4 linked regions of the Nothobranchius furzeri genome follow. The protein of the gene in region 1 binds, or shares a complex with, the protein of each later gene. Links are inferred from orthologs where the notes say so. Each region holds a gene or a part of one and is shown on either strand. Other genes may lie near its edges.

Region 1 (4,139 bases):
CTCCTTTCATGCCATCACTCCTCATTATAAACTTCGTCTATCTGCACAGATTTTTTTTATTCGATTGAATGTTTTAAGAATTTCTTGCATATGTTACAGGATTTTGTTCTTCTTTGCTCCTGATGTGAATGATTGCTGCTGTGACACCAACATTTCCCCACCGAGTGTAAGGAATTTTTACTTCTTGCAGAAATAGGTAGATTTTTGTCTTTATTTTTGTCTGTGTTGAGCATTTGCATCTATAGATTGTAGCTGTATTCCTTTTAACTGTATCAGGGTAAACAAATACAAAACTGAAGTTACAAAAATAGAACTATACAAATCATACGGTTTCCATAGGACCACATTTAACACACATCAATACAATCATTAAAAAATGTTATTAGTGCACATTGCTTCCTGTGATTTGTAACTTCCGTAGCTTGTTGAACAACTCCAGGTACTGAGTCATGGTGTCGACAGAGTCTGCTGGTGCAAAAAGACCCTCAGGCTTGGCAGCAAATACAGTGGGAAGCTCAGGAACATTGTTGCCAAGAAAAGACAGCATGAACTCCTTCATGAGGTTCCAGCAGTCCCCTGGAACCACACAGGGACAGTACTCCACCTGAGGAAAACACATCAAGGGTTAATCCTGTCAAAAAAGAGAACAATGGGCCTCTGGTCTAACTGATAATACCAAACTGTCACCTCCACTGATATCCCTCGAACACTGGAACTCATTGTGACCGTGCCAACTTTAATCAAGAAGTCACAGTAGCGATATCTCGAACCGCGACACTCCACCTTGTGTCCCTTGGCATTCTGGAAATGGGTCTTCAGCTTCACCATGAGGACGTCAAAGTTTGTGTCCGCTACCAAACAGGGTCCTCCTTCAAACAGAGCCAAGCAGCTCAGGGGAAATTCAGAGTTGTGCATTACATAAAGGAGCTTGGAGGGCTGACCTGTAACAAACCCAGACTTAAAGTGAGAAATTGCATGAAGAACAGCAAAATGTAACAATGCAATTTTTGCATAATGACTTTGCATGATTTTTTTATTTTTGGACACAGATTAGAGCAGCATGCTTATTAAGTTTAAAATTACACAAGTAAGTAGTAGAATCATACCATGTCCTGTTTATATAAATGTTGCTTATGAGGGATGCGAGAGCAGACACCTTTTTTTCTGGAGGACACTTGAGCTAAATTAGATCATGATTTACTGCTCTGCTAATGGACTCATTGGTGGAAACCTGGAAAAAAAAGACTAGTAGTAACTTAGAAAGATAAATGCCAAATCAAACGTTTATAGACCCCGGGTTGCGGATGTTTATAAAACATAAAAATAAAAACTATTTTTCAAGGAGCTTAATGTAAATGGCCTGTGTTTGTATAGCACCTTCACAGGGTTCTACATCCCCCCAAAGCACTTCACAACACAGTCACTCACACACACACATTCACACGCTGGTGGGAATGAGCTATGATGTCACTACAGATGCCCTGAGGCGCACTGACAAAGGCGAGGCTGCTGAGCACTGGTGCCATCGGCCCCTCTGACAACCACCAGCAGGCAAGGCAGGTTAAGTGTCTTGCCCAAGGACACAACAGCAGAATTCTTTGGTCTGAGCCGGGATCGAACCTGCAACCTTCTGGACAACCCGCTCTACCTCCTGAGCTACTGCTGTCCCATTTAAACAAATTTAAGCGGATTCTTGCAGTGGATGGGGCTTTTTAAATGTTCCTGACTTCTGGGGAAAGATACAGTGGAAACGTGGCTCATTTAACCTTGCATAACATAGTAATGAAGATTTACAGAAAACCTTTCTAAAACACACCAACTGTATTTTAATCTGGCTATTTTTACCCAATGGATGACTGTTTTTGTTAACCTTACAGAGAAATAAGATCAGTAAAAATGAAAATTACATAGCTTGACAATATATTTGTCACAAGGCACACATATCCTGGACAATTGAGTTTAAGTCAAATATTTGACATAATTATTAGAACATTTTCAAAAAGCAGAATTTAATCAAAGAAATATGACAAATTCCCCTGCAGCAAGTTGTATTAATAGCAATGCAGAAGACTATCCATCTAAAGCACCTAAACAACAGGAATGATAATATTTATATGGTTAATAGCTGAAAATTACCGCCAGCGTTTACTGTTGATTGATATGTTTCACAGTCTACACAGAAGTTGCCCTGCTTCACAGCTCCAAGCTGCTCCAGCTTCTTATGCAGAATGTCCACTGTCTGTTGGACACTCTTCCCCTCCGCCACGGGCACCTGGCAAACACTGCACAGCACAAGAACAACACAACACCGTGAAGCAACCTGTTCAAAATTGATCATGTGCAATAACATTTGAATGTCCTATTTCTGTTTACTCAATATGCTAAAATTCTGCTTACTGAACCCAACTAATATATATATTACTGTTCATTTTACATTTATATTATTTCTGTATTATTTTTTGTATAGTTTTCCATTTTGCACTAAAGAGAGTGGCACTCTAATTTCGCTGTACACCGTACAACGACAATAAACACTATTCTATTCAGTGTAAAACGGTTTGGAAGCAAATAAAGGCTACATTCACCGAGTTAGCTACACATGCCAAACGAAATCATATGCACAGCGTGATAAAATATATTACAAAAATATTATTACAGTTAGCATTTAACTACAACATAAGTAAATCTGCTTACCAAGTAACACCCATTGATTTCTCGCCTGCAAAAAACACTCGTGAAGCAATTACTTCCGGATTAACATTTACACTTCCGGTGCACGTAAACGACCTTGTTTCAGAAAATTAAAAAACAAACTCAAGAAACTTTATAATCATATTGCATAAATGTATGTTACATACAAACATATAAAATCAACATCATATAAAATGGTATGTTATATATATGTTTTTCAGTGCACAGACGTTACGTATATCGTCACTTCCGCCGTACGGTAATCTGCACGTGTAGAATACAGACTGTTTACAGAATTCTTTCTCCGCGTTGTTTGTGTCTCTAATGGTAAAACAAAACACGGACAGCGTCGTCGCAGCTTGAGTCACTCTTGAAAGATGCCGAAAGTGAAAAGAGCTAAAGGTGGCGGTGGAGGAGAGAAGAGTGGCGGAGGAGGAGCGGTGCCACTGGCCGACCAGATCCTCCAGGCGGACACGATCCGAGCCCGAGGCCGGGTGAAGAATCGAGACGCCCGGGTCGAAAGTGAGGACACCTACGTGGATGAACGTCTGTCAAGGAAAATCTTACAACAGGCCCGGATTCAACAAGAGGAGTTGCAGACCGAGTATGGCCTGGCACCTGAGCAGAGGAAAGCACCAGTCACTGTTCTCGGTATGATGGAGGGTTTCGGACCTTAAATTGGCAGTATTTTTTTTAATTAAGTCTGGTTTATCAAGCGTAGAAACCACGAAAGTGTTTTTGTAATTAGTTATACGGTGTTACTTATGCAACATCCCTTTATTTCTCTGCAAAAATAAAACTAATGACGAATGTTTTTTATGTGGACAAAATGTCAGACGATCACAGAGAAAAATAGTTCCCAGCGTGATCTTCTCAGAACTATTTAGGTGAAATAAGTCTTTGCTGAATGCATGAATAATATTTTCTAATGTTGTCTGACCTGTTTATTTTAGGCCCTGAGTCCCAGGATGCTGACTCAGATGAAGATTGGCCAGTTCTGGGAGAAGCAGGTGCTGGGGATGGTGATGTGGAGGGTGATACTGAAGTCATCGTTGATTCTGATGATGAGAAGGCCATTGAGATGTTCATGAATAAAAACCCTCCAATGAGGCAAGATTTCTCACAACTTTGTTTGAATTCTAGCTGTTGGAATTTGCTAAAGTCCACTTTGAGGTTAAGTTTATGTTCGTATACTCAGCTGTTTTCCTCTTTGTGACCATCACAGGCGGACCTTAGCTGATATTATCATGGAGAAGATCACAGAGAAGCAAACCGAGGTGGGAACAGTGATGTCTGAGGTATCAGGGGTTCCAATGCCCCAGCTGGACCCTAGGGTGACCGAGGTCTACCGGGGTGTCGGTAAGGTAAGTTATACAGTTGTTTGTGTTATGTTGAAATGTGTTCTCCTGTTAAAAATGATCTCACCTACTTTGTTCTTTTCCCAGGGT
Region 2 (4,066 bases), on another chromosome or scaffold:
ACACTCAGCCTGTAGGTGAAAAAACTGGAACATTTTTCCTCATGTTCACAACACTGTGTCAAACAGTTCTCAGCTGAACTTTCTCTTTTTTGTCTCATGTCTAGCTCTGCCCACTCTGCTGCCATTCTGACATGGCACTGATACACCCACCATGAAGATTAGGGAAGATTTAGGTCCAGTGCCAGCTTCACTCCCAGTGCCATACCATCCCTCAGCACAGAGAGGGAGTGGGGGGTGTCCCACTTGGCGTGGCAAGGTGAACTAGCCTCTGATTGATGGGCATGGCTTCAGCCCACTACTGTGCTCCCCAAGGCTCGTGCCTCCTTTTCCTTTCTCCCACTGCTGTCTTGGCAGCAGTGCCCAAATCCTCCTCTGTGCCAAGCAGCCAGCTAAAGCTCCTGGTGGGCACATCAATTACATAGCGGCACCTCCCCTCTTTTCTTCATGTCTATCTGTAGGTCTGTCTACTGACTCAGATCATGCCAATCTAGTCCCTCTCCATCTCCAGTGCTGTCTATTTCTTGTGTGTTTATTTAATACGCATGTTCTTAAAGTATAGCCTTGCAAATGCACCAATACACATATTCATGAACACACTCCCTGCTCTATCTCATAGGCAGGTCATAATGGTTGGTGGGAAAATCCTCCCTGGAGAGCACTCATTGCCACAGGCTCAGCTGTGCAATAGGCTCAGGTGTCTGCATGCAGTATGCGTTTGTTTTTGCAAGGCATGACTGCTTTTGTGGCTTTCATTTTTATTTTTTTAATATGCTGCTTTATATGCAGCTGTGGTAACTTTAAAAGTGGGATTTACCAATAGACAAAAAGAGATCGACAATCAAAACGTGTTACTTGAAATTTACAGTTAATAAACATAATTGTGTAACCTGTCAGTTGCTTTTGGCAAAACATGAATCATTTCCTTGCAGTAGTACGCCATCTGGAGAAATAATTAAGTCACTGTCTTAGGAGGAAGGTGCTGTTATATAGTGCTGTTCGACACAGTTTTAATGTTTTGTTTGACCAATAAAAGAAAATAACTCCTGTCAATTATAATCAGTCGAATTTCCCTGAAAGTATTATATTTTTAAAATAAATCTACATATTCGCGCAGGGACAAATGAAACGAGATTGTCAGGTGAACTATTAATAGAAACTTTTTTTTAATTACAAGAAAATTTGATTTGTAGAAGAAAACTGTAAAGACACCAGGGTTATTTACATTCTTTGTAGTGTCACACTCGCGTCCTAGAGGATGGGCGTACGGAAGCCGCCTGGGTACGCGGAGAACTCGAAGCTTTGAGAGAACAATGGCGTCGGGGCCTGGTGTCTCTCTGCAAAGTGGCAGCCCGGCCAGAGAACTTTCTATTTCGGTTCAACAAGGAGGAAATCTGCCTATCGGTGACCGGGTAAAACCCGAAGATGTAACGGGTGAGGCCTGCTTTTGTTTTAGGTGCTTTAGTTTATTTAGAGTTTTTTAAGATGCGTGAAGTGCTAGGAGAGGTGAGAGAGGCTATCTATGCTAACTGATAGCCAACGGTGTTAACTATTATTGGTGTCGTATTTTTAACATTTAGACTATTTTTGAATATGCAGACAAAATAATTAAACATATAATAATGGAATTTTTTATGAGTGATACAGTTATTTATTTTTTATTTTTATTTCTGCCTTTGTTATGTTGCTAATGGCTAGCAGGAGCTACTGTCTTATAAACTAAATGCAAACGTCAACATTAACATTAGATCAGATTGCAATAATATCTAAAATACTAAAAACAAGTTTATTTGTACCAAATTAGTATATCATTTGAAGGGATGAACGTAAGACTAGCTTTTAAAACTAAGCGAAATAATCAGTCATCCGTCATTAGCTCATTGTTACAAGTTGTAATTGACAGTTAACCACAATTCGGGCGTTTTAATGATGGGAGTATTTAATCGCTTAACAATCTCGTTATGAACTCCCCTCCTTATCCACCTTCCTATGTACTTTAAAAACGATGAAGAAAAATGTTTTACTGCAAGATAACTTTTGAATAAGTTGATAAATGATAACAGAGAACTTAGTTTTGGTGTTCTTTGTTCACAACAAATGTAAACAGCCACAGTTTAGGTGTCATAATCTGGCTGAATGTAAAATTATTATAGGGACAACTAATTTATCAACACAGTATTCACAAATAATAAGTTATCTTTTAATAATTTGTTGTAAATTATAGCACATGTTGTTACCGTTCACATCTTATTTGTAGGCTAAATACATTACAACAGACATCTTCAGCATGATTCATCTACATCTCAGACTGCATGTAAAATATCTGAATGTCTAGATTGGATCTGGTTTTCAACTGGACCAGCTAATTCATGTCCATGGCTTTTTACGGATAATGGCAACATGAGGACGTAAGGTAAATCTGGGCTTCTTTATTTTCTCATAGTTTAACAATCTCCACAGAAGAGCCACCTTGTTGTTTTTGTAATCTAAACGTTATGAAAGACTTGGTAGATCTTTGAAACTACAGATTCTGAAAACCTCAAAGAATTTTTTTTCTGAAAAAAGAAAACATTGTAATTATCTTTATATTTTTGGAAATTCACAGATAAAGGCCCCTATATATTTGCAAATTCCTAAAAGGACGAGTTTAAATGATCTGTTTGAGTGTAGTAAGGTTCCAAACTTGGGCAGAATACACGAGTAAATTTGATTTGCTTTTTAATCATCATCACAACCTGAAATATGTTTTTTTTTTGTCTTTATCAGAGGCAGAGAAGCAGAGTCGGATAGCTGCTCTCCTGGAGAGACTTCATGCCAAACATAATGCTTCACGACCATGGCAGGAGACCTCCAAAGTTGTGCGTCAGGCCATGGTGAGACAGATTCATTCTTCTATAGAAAATAAATCTAAAACATAATGTTTCTTATCACACAACCTGAACTTGACACTGACCTTCTTACTCGCCGTCCAGGGTTCCCGCGGGGTCTTAAAAAGTCTCAAAAGCATTGAATTTAGGATTTAGAAAATAATACCTTAAAAAATCTTTTAAAAGTCTTGAATTTTGACAACTGGGTCTTAAAATTTGTGCTGTATGTAAATTATCCATATTGTATTTGCATTCTAAAATTGCATTTTTCAACCACAATAGTTTTAATTAAATAACATAGTGTAAATAAAGAATGGCAGAACCAATCAAGTGGTGCTCGCTGCAGAACCACAAAGGCGGAGCTGCACCAGAAGGTGGAGCTGCACCAGAGTCAGCTCCGCCCATTCCAGAATCAGCCCCGCCCATTCTATCGGAGTCAGTCCAATTCCTTCCAGTTGTCAGACTTGATAGCATTCTGGAACCAAAGAGGGTGTTATAGCTAAAAAATGCAAGATTGAGGAGGGAGTTGAGAAGTGAATTGAACAGTTTTTGTAAAGGTTCCATATAATTAAAAATCTGACTTTTGGAACTTTTAATCTTGTTATATTGTCATTTCCTCATAAGAAACACGCCAAAGCCATTTTTGGCCTCATTCATGCATTTTCTTCCCATCTCAGCTTCAATTTGGTCTCCTCCCCCAAAGCGGGTCTGGTCTTGGTTCTCAAATCTGGATATTCTGTGAATTTTCTGACAAATTATTTCTGAAATGACTTCTACTGAGACACCGCCAGAAAAATCATACATCCCATCTACAAAGACACACCAAATAACATAATAAAATGTAACGCCACTTAATTTTTATCAGATGTGGTGGTGTAGTGGTGATGGTGTCAGGTTGACATGCAGTTTTGCGCAGGTTCGCCTCCCAGCAGTGGAAATATTCTAATATCTCTTTTCCTCATTTCTAGCTACACTTGCCAGTACTATGTTTACAACGATTTATTGGTATGCCGTTTAACATATAATGACTAATGTGTTTTTTTTATTTATTCATTCGTTTATTTAGCCAGTGTGAGTCCATCTGTGAGCAGAGTTTCAACTAAAATGCTGTTTAGGAACGACCAAATTCAAAGAACTTGTAGAGACATAAATATTTTGCTGAAAATGAACATTACAACTAAAATATGAACAAATTAAATGTT
Region 3 (4,026 bases), on another chromosome or scaffold:
CTCTTCACTGGGCAGAGAGTCGATCAGTACATCTACATCTTTGGCTGTTCTGGCAATAAGAGCGGCAAATAGCCGTGCATATTCTAGAGGAGAGGGAAAACACACATGAGGGAATGCAATGAGCGTTAGTGCCATTGCTGCAACTAAACAAGTAGGTACAGTCGACATAATAGTTCCAAATGACAAGAAAAGTCTAAATATTCCCCCCAGAATAAAGGCTACATCCCAAGAATGAGTCAATATGTCGAGACAAACGTCAACAGTATTTTAAAAATTCAAGATTACAGTCATAATGTCGATGACAAAGTCAGCTTGTTTCTTCCAGGATGAAGAAAAAAAAGTTTAAAGGTTAAGAATCAACACTTAACTATTTCTAGAACATTGAGAAAAGACAAGAGACAAAAGTAGAAACCATCTTTAAATAGTGGGGAACAAATTCTAAACATCTATAATTACGTCTAAATACTGAGGAAAAATATTACAATTTAATTTGAAAAATATCAAAATATAACTTCCAAAAAAGAAAACAAACCCTGTTGTGCCCCTGAATCAGACTGCATTTGTTCCAGTTTTATCATCATTGTAACCGACGGTTACAGGAATGTTTTACCCAGTAAACTATTCAATAAAATAACTATTTGGTTAAAGGGACGTTATGGAAGTTTGACAGCCAAAACATGTATAGAAATAATAAATTTCTTCTTCATACATTCTCCTGCAATGCCCTGGTCCTGTAGAATGAGCCCTGGCATTTTTACTGTGATTGCCTGTTTTTCTGTAAAATCACAGAAAAAGAGAGCTGCTCGGGTCGAGCAGGCTGCTTCATCCGTGTTCACGCTCAGGCATAGCCCTCCAAACTGTTCTTTGAACGTTGTTTCAGCTGTCATCAAGGATATAAATGTTACAGACACAAGGAACGTCACTGGCGCTTTAGCTCGCCTTGTAAGACGACGGACTTTCGTGCAGAAGACTCGAGTTCGAATCTGGATGTACATTACATTAATGGTATATTTTTTTGCAGTAAGATGCCCAAATTTTTATTTGACACTTGCCGAACGGCATTGAATTCACAGATAAAAAAGATGTGGGTTCAACTTTCATTTTGGAACAATTTTTCAAGCAAGGGAAGGGAATGATCTGAGCATGCAGGAGGACTGACCCATCTTAAACCTTTGTCGGCTGTGCTGAAGAGAAAGGTACAGAACCAAATTATTTAATTAGCTGCACCTTCTCCTGTCCTCTGTCCTCCGGGCCACACACACAAGGGACTGTCTCAGCTGTTATTTTCGTAAAGGAGTGTGCACGTACAGCATGCGCGCCTCGTGCACGAGCCTACTATTGAAGCTGCCATTACACTTTTGGCCTGAGGGGGCAATCGCTAGCATAAAAATTCAAAACTCCGTAAAGTCCCTTTAAATATCAGGTTTTAACTCCTTTTGTTAAAGCAGAACTCGGAGATCTTCAGTCTTTCACAATAAGGGTCTTCAGCAAACACGTCCCTTTAGTTAAAAGGGAACAACACTTCCTGTAACAAAATAAATCCCTTCTGGATTTAACAAGGCAAATAGGTTGTATAACCTCAAGATGGCAATTCCACAATTCATCAGGATCAAACCATGAAAGAGATCAGGGCATATCGATGCAGACCCAATGAGCACCAATGACAATCTTTGCGATGACAATTGTTAAAACTGTTTGATTGTTCAACATCTCTACAGGATCCTCATTAAAAAATGAATGCAACTCAGGATGGGAATAATTCTTTTGACATTGCAGAAGCAATCAAAGTGAAGGGCAGTCCAACTAAATATTACAAAGTGACACTTTTGGGGATGGGCAGGGTACAGTTGAGATTCAGTTCTTCAGGCTATTTTGGAAATGGTAACACTTTTTTTCCTAGACGTTTTGACAATTTTCTTTAAAATTTCAACATTTTTCTTGACGTTTTAACTTTATCCTGGAAATAGTATTTCACTTGTTGACTAGCATTTTTACTTTTATACAATTAAACCCCGAAACCCCTTTTTGAAACAATTTATTAAATTGTGGCTTCTTCGAATAGGAAAATAAATAACCCATGAGAGTTTGGTAGTGATTTTTCCACCAGGCATGTGAGCATGTTTGGCCTGCCAGACTCGTCCTCTGTTTAATTCTACACAGAGAACTAATGCTTCCCATAAGGATGCATGACTGGTCAGGCTAGCTGAATGTGGGAGAAAAGAGATTTAAATAAAGATTTTGCTTTGAAGTTACAAACCTTCGGCTGAATTTCCTGGCTGATCCTTGTTGATTGCTGTCTGAATATTACTGAAGGAAGCAGGTGGAGCACATTGTTGCAGAACACCGATGGCATCACAGAACTGATCAGCCAGCTGTTCACACGCAACAAAACAAACACGGGTTTTAAAACTCCGGACATTTGTTTAAAAGAATATAGAATAGATAAACAGCCAGTATAGTCTGATAGTTGCATTACCAGTTAAACCAAGCCATGTTCATTGGTTAAAACATAAAAGCTGTGATAAATTGTGTAAATTAACTAAACCTTAGACTCGCAAGTTAGCGATTAGCTACATTTAAAAGACTGAAACGATAATTCTGCAAATATTTCTTATCTAAATCCATTTGTTGTAATTGTGTAAGATAAAAAAATAACTATTGACGTAGAAAATAATTATATTTCGGGATATTTCAATAGTTTTGCTTACAGAATTGACAGCGTCTTGAAGTTGCGTTAGCCTATCCGCCATGTTGCCGTAAATAAAATAAAAAACTCCCCAACGTGACCCTCGCGAGAGTTTAACGTCTCGCGGAAATAAACAAGAGGCTTCGAGTTAGCTGAAGCGATGGCTGTGACCGTCCCACGGCTGGTTTTTTGTAATGTGGATAGGTTTTAAATCGACTTTTTCATGACTAGCGATATTTACTCTCGTGCTTTAAGGAAATGGGAACGCGCCAAAGCATCTAATCCGGAGTAAACGTCAGCTTTTAGCCAGTGTTAGCCACCAAACAACAACAGGAAGTAAAGAAGCTAACTCAACCCAAGTGGTTTTGTACTTTGAACTCTTCAGGTATGACCACACATTTGTCAGTTTTGCTGCCTTTTGTGGACCTTACAAGTTTAGTTATAGCAGCCGGTTGGTGTTATGAACTCCTCGGTAGTTTATATTTGATTAATGAAGTGTTGTGGTGATAAATTGTGTCAGTAAATGCAAAATATGTTAAGTAATAAAACTCTTATTAGAGTAAAATGACCTATCAATGCATTATTGGCTGTAAACTAGCGTGCTATCACCTACGAGGAGGCTTAAGGTTCAAGCTAGGTTCTTTAGCTTTAGAAACGTTTATTCATGGCTCATTTCGATCGTTCTGGTGAATTATTATTATTTTACAGAGTGTGGTGAAGTGAAAGTTCATGTATTTTCGTGTGGCTGTCTGTAAAAAGATTCTGAACAACTAATATAGAAGTAGACAGATCTTTGAATGAGCTGAGTTTGAAGAAATAAAGATTAGTACTTACTGGACTGATTTGTTTGCATGTATTCGTAGTGTATTGCATTAATTATATTTATTTTCAATAAATTGATACCAACAAGTCAGAGCTGTTGAATAATCAAAAATAAGTTGTTTTTATGCTTCTGTATTTCCTTAGGTATGAATTGTAGTTTAGAGAAGGTCTTGGCAGATGCCAAATCATTAGTGGAAAGGCTTCGTAACCACGACAATGCCGCTGAGATGCTAATTGAACAGACAACATCTCTCAACAAGAGAGTGGAGGCTATAAAAACGGTATGTGATTTTTTTTTTTCCTATTTTATGTGCTGTTGGGTACTAGCTTAGTGCCACCAGGGGTCACATTTTACTAATTCTATAACTGAACACTCTATAATGCAAAAGAAGAAAGTAAAGTGCATTCCAAAGAATGATGGAATATTTTAACCGTAGCGTTGACTGCTGTTTAGTTTACAGGACATAACTACTGAGGGCGAAGCTTTTTATTGATTCGTTATTTATTTATTTTTTCAC
Region 4 (4,263 bases), on another chromosome or scaffold:
AAGGAACCTACGCAGTCCACAGAAAGATGTCTGTCTTCCCTTCCCCTCTCTCATTACGCTCTCCCTCCTTAATTCCCCCTCCCCTCCTCCTCCGTGCTCTGGCTCACTCTTTCACTCTCAGTTTCTCTCAAATAGGCTGAGGCTTGCAGTCAGGAAATGTACATCAGTCATAATACGTTCCTAAAATGAAAACAGATTCTGCTGCAGTCCTTCTCTGCTGAAAAGCCTCACTCTGTTTCTCCTCTCATTCTGTGCCCTTTCCCCCCTCCTTCATCATGCCAGCTCTGCTTTTTTTGCACCCCCTACACACACACATGCACACACTCACACTTACAAGGGTCTAGTTTGCTTTCTGTCACAGATGGTTGGTCGCCAGCGCAGGAGACAGTTGTTTTGTGGGTACTGCGATTGCAGCCATCCCAAGTATCCGACGCTGGCCACGCAGAGTGCACGACAGTAATCTGCCATGTCCCTTTAAAGTCCCACAGTATGAGCACTTATGCTTTCTAATAAGCTGTTTTTGTTTGTGTGTTTTGCTGTTGTGAGTTGCAATAACAGTGAGCAAATGAGAGGAACAAGGTCCGTGCATGCTTGAATGCTGTTAAACAGGCTGTCAGAGGAGAGCGCTCAACAGCTAGCCTGAAGACCTTTATCTATAACAACACAACCTTTGTTACTCACAGGAAAAGGTTAGGAAATTTCCCACCATGGAGCCTGTCTTCTTATCATTTATTAAGCTCAAACCCAAGAAATTAGCCTATTAACATATGTCCCTATCAACTAATGGTTTGTTAGAATCCAAAATATTTCTATTCTGCGGCTCTTTTTAATTACTAACCCAAATAAAATGTCAAAACCATCAGCGTTTTTTTGTTTTTAATTTAAAAAACTGCCATAATGATGAGAATATAAAGATTGTAATGTCTCTAACAAGTGTCCATGATCTAACGAGGGAAATTATGTTACAAATGCAATTATCTTCTAGTTTTCTCCTAGTGAAAAGAGGAATTAGGAGCTAAACCATATCAAACCACATTAGAACAGCAAAGATGCCAATTAGCCATGTGCTCTGTGCTGTTTTATTAGTAGCCTTGAGAAGTTTTTCCTTGCAAACAGTCAACGTCGCATGGAAGTGCAGAGTCCGTCAGTCCAGAGCGCGTCTGTAGGACGTCAGACTATCTCTGCACTTAGGAACAGGACTGAAATGAGAATCGTAGTTTAAAAACTAAGGTGTGAGCTGCTTCTGTTTTAAATAAACTCACTTTTAACAGAAAATCCTCTTTAACCGTTGAACCCAGCCCTATTTCCACATCCAAATGCATTTTAAATGAGCACGTTAGTGTCTTTATCTCTGTTTCATTTTTACAGGAATTGTGTGTGTGTGTGTGTGTGTGTGTGTGTGTGTGTGTGTGTGTGTGTGTGTGTGTGTGTGTGTGTGTGTGTGTGTGTGTGTGTGTGTGTGTGTGTGTGTGTGTGTGTGTGTCATTGCTTATTTGGACTACCCTGCAGGAACCCTGCCAGTTAGACCGCCGAAGCACTTGCCAGTCATAAATATTCTCAACAAGCCAGCTGATGGATGGTCTCTTTCACCCTCAGTTTGAAAGGGATGTTCATGATGGCCAATAAAGCCTCGGTGAGTGAATGAAAGCTTTTTTCCACGAGGGAATAGCCTCAGATGAGATGGTGACAGAGACACAATCACTGTTTTCTGTTGTTGTCAAGCTGAGAAAATTTAAGATGTCTGATACCGGAGAGCATGTGTCAGTGCACGGGAAACCACACAAGATCTATTTCTTCTCGCTCGTTCACCTTGGAGACTAGAATGAAACATTCATAGGAGCTTTCTCAAGCCCCCTGTGCCACAATTTGTGGCGGCGATTGGCGTAACATGGTCCACAACCTGCAGGATCACCTGAAAAGCCCTCAGGACCCCTATGTTGTTGTGGTTCTCAGCAGCCCTGCTTGCCTGAGCTCAGTGCATGCCTTTCCACTTGGCTGCCTGTTGTGGTAAGACAGTTAACTCGCTGATTGCAGGAGGAAAACTGTGAAAACACACTGCTCTGCCTCCTTCAACCTCAAAAGCGATGAGTTGTGCAAAAATGACACCGCATGTAGTGTGAAAAACGTGTTTTTTTCTCTGATTCTGTGAAAGGGCTGCTTCCGTCGTGTGCCTTGTTGATGCAAATCTTTGTTTCTTTTCTTTAGACACGATTTTCCAGTTGGCAAAATGAAGCATGCATTGTTATCCTATTTCACAAACGCGTGGACATTTGGCAATAAATTATCTTCTTGTAGCTGCTAAACTAGAGCATTTGGGAAAAGATAAATATAAATAGCAGCTATTGTTGATCCGCAGGTTTAGTGGTAATAGTGGCTTTATTTTGGTCTCCCACACCACTAACCCATGTTAATGATTGTCTAATAACAACATCAGCAATTGGTTCACCTTTGTACAGCAGACACACATTTAAGCGTGCCTCCCATGGGTCTTATGACTTGTCTATAGCTGCTGAGCATGATTTATTCATACCGTACCAGAGAGAAGATGTTGGAATGGCAGTCCTCAAGGCTTGCCCCGTTAGCCACCCAATTCGCCGTTGCAGTCATAATCGTCCGCCTTTGGGGTCGCCAGCGCAGGGCATGTCGAAATCCTACATCGGTATCTCAACACCGAGCAGGGGTGACAGATGGGTTCCCTTAAGAGTCAGGCTTCAAGATAAAAGACTCGGGAATGGGCGTATTCAGAGAGATGTGTACAGCGATGCATCCATTAAATCCAATTTTTTTTCTTCAAAAATACATATAAGATAATAAATGTTGATAAATCCGAGCGCGTGAGTGTGATGAGAGGGGATCACAACATTGGTCCAATCCAGGTCATTCCAAATCTGATCAACAAAACAGTATCCATTTCAATCCACACACACACACATAAACACACACAAGGAATGTGATCAGTTTCCAAATAATCCAAAAGGCAAAAATCCACAAATCCTCAAAAAATGGGGGTGAAATAAGCGTCAAAGTTGGAAACGATGGTTATTTCACGCAGGAAACGTGATTCCGTGTGCTCCACAAAGCTGATGCACCATTTGTGATAGTTTTCGAGCGCTATTTATAGCCGCCTTTCTTGCCACAACCGCTCCTCTCTCACACAATGTAAGCCAGTCTGGCTCACACAAACAGGCGCTGCTGCTGCATGCGAGCAGGAATATTTAATCCCTCTGTTGCTCCTGAATCAAACGCGCCGCAGACGATCCGCTAAAAAAGAAACACAACCTTCCCCCCTTCCTCCGCCTCCTCCTCCTTCCTCACGCTGCTCCCCTCCGTGGACAAAAAAATGAAACTCGAGCGGGTTTCCAGCAATAAATAACCCCGAATCATGAGTCAAAGGCAAGACGAAAAAAGTCTAACACTCCACCGAGCAGGAAAACGACAAAACAGGCTGTAGATGGAGGTTTGAAAAAATCCTTCCTTCCTTTCAGCTTACGAAACCTCCTCTCTCACGGCCACAAAAGCCTCAGTGTTGCAGAAAAAAATATCAGACAGGTTTTCTGGGTTTTTTCTTCCCCTTCAAGCAAAAGTGACCGTCCTCGTCTGGCGCCGATCCCAACACAAGGCGAATGTTGCATTCTGCAGACTGCTTCGGCCGAATCGCGTGCTCCTGCCTCTCGAGAAGCGGTCGGGTCGTTGTTGGTTTAAATCCTCCAGCATGTGCATGATTTCCTCAACCGCAGCGACTCCTTCCTCATTGTTTATCTGTCAGACAAGAGTGCGTTATTACACGGCTAGATGGGCGTGCGCGCAGCCTGGATGTGCCACCCTCAGTGTGAATCGGTGTGAATGCGTGTGTGTGTGTGTGTGTGTGTGTGTGTGTGTGTGTGTGTGTGTGTGTGTTTTACGCGAAGCGCTGAAGCCTCTTTTTTTTTTCCTTTTTGCGCACGATCGTCCAGCCCACCACGCATTGTAATGTAATGGCGGTCGGAAGCGCTCAACAGAGACTAGCCTTTCTGTTTGGCCAAGTTTGTTCTCACATGACCAAAGTGTGGGATTACATGTCTCTGATGTGAGGCTGGAGGGGAGGACACGGTGGAGACACTGTCCCCAACTTCCCAAATGTGTCCCTGATGTGTTTGTGGAGAACATTTTTTGTTTGTTTGTTTGTTTTCTATGACAAGATGGTGTCACTCTGATGATTACATAATGTAACTGTTCTCACAAACAGAGGGTGTGACAATAGAGGTCAGCCTGATTTACTGAGCT

What was found.
Region 2: med20 (region 1) and med1 share a complex: the UniProt entries of both Homo sapiens proteins name them as parts of the mediator complex. The link is inferred for Nothobranchius furzeri from reciprocal best matches to the Homo sapiens genes MED20 and MED1.
Region 3: med20 (region 1) and med21 share a complex: the UniProt entries of both Homo sapiens proteins name them as parts of the mediator complex. The link is inferred for Nothobranchius furzeri from reciprocal best matches to the Homo sapiens genes MED20 and MED21.
Region 4: med20 (region 1) and mediator of RNA polymerase II transcription subunit 13-like share a complex: the UniProt entries of both Homo sapiens proteins name them as parts of the mediator complex. The link is inferred for Nothobranchius furzeri from reciprocal best matches to the Homo sapiens genes MED20 and MED13L.

Annotation. Positions count from the first base shown.
Region 1 is NC_091743.1:46,651,386-46,655,524, reverse strand, and holds med20 (mediator of RNA polymerase II transcription subunit 20), read right to left. Parts: upstream 2,801-4,139; 5' UTR 2,709-2,800; coding exon 2,695-2,708; intron 2,283-2,694; coding exon 2,137-2,282; intron 942-2,136; coding exon 688-941; intron 605-687; coding exon 383-604; 3' UTR 194-382; downstream 1-193. Other genes in the region: bysl (bystin), read left to right, coding at 3,069-3,342, 3,645-3,801, 3,917-4,055. UniProt on the Homo sapiens protein: Component of the Mediator complex, a coactivator involved in the regulated transcription of nearly all RNA polymerase II-dependent genes.
Region 2 is NC_091756.1:39,221,577-39,225,642, reverse strand, and holds the start of med1 (mediator of RNA polymerase II transcription subunit 1), read left to right. Parts: upstream 1-1,266; 5' UTR 1,267-1,310; coding exon 1,311-1,431; intron 1,432-2,332; exon of another isoform or gene 2,333-2,410; intron 2,411-2,763; coding exon 2,764-2,870; intron 2,871-4,066. UniProt on the Homo sapiens protein: Component of the Mediator complex, a coactivator involved in the regulated transcription of nearly all RNA polymerase II-dependent genes.
Region 3 is NC_091741.1:59,847,008-59,851,033, reverse strand, and holds the start of med21 (mediator of RNA polymerase II transcription subunit 21), read right to left. Parts: upstream 2,801-4,026; 5' UTR 2,751-2,800; coding exon 2,709-2,750; intron 2,373-2,708; coding exon 2,258-2,372; intron 84-2,257; coding exon 1-83. Other genes in the region: fgfr1op2 (FGFR1 oncogene partner 2 homolog), read left to right, coding at 3,655-3,789. UniProt on the Homo sapiens protein: Component of the Mediator complex, a coactivator involved in the regulated transcription of nearly all RNA polymerase II-dependent genes.
Region 4 is NC_091746.1:54,299,461-54,303,723, forward strand, and holds the start of mediator of RNA polymerase II transcription subunit 13-like, read right to left. Parts: upstream 2,801-4,263; 5' UTR 2,608-2,800; coding exon 2,536-2,607; intron 1-2,535. UniProt on the Homo sapiens protein: Component of the Mediator complex, a coactivator involved in the regulated transcription of nearly all RNA polymerase II-dependent genes.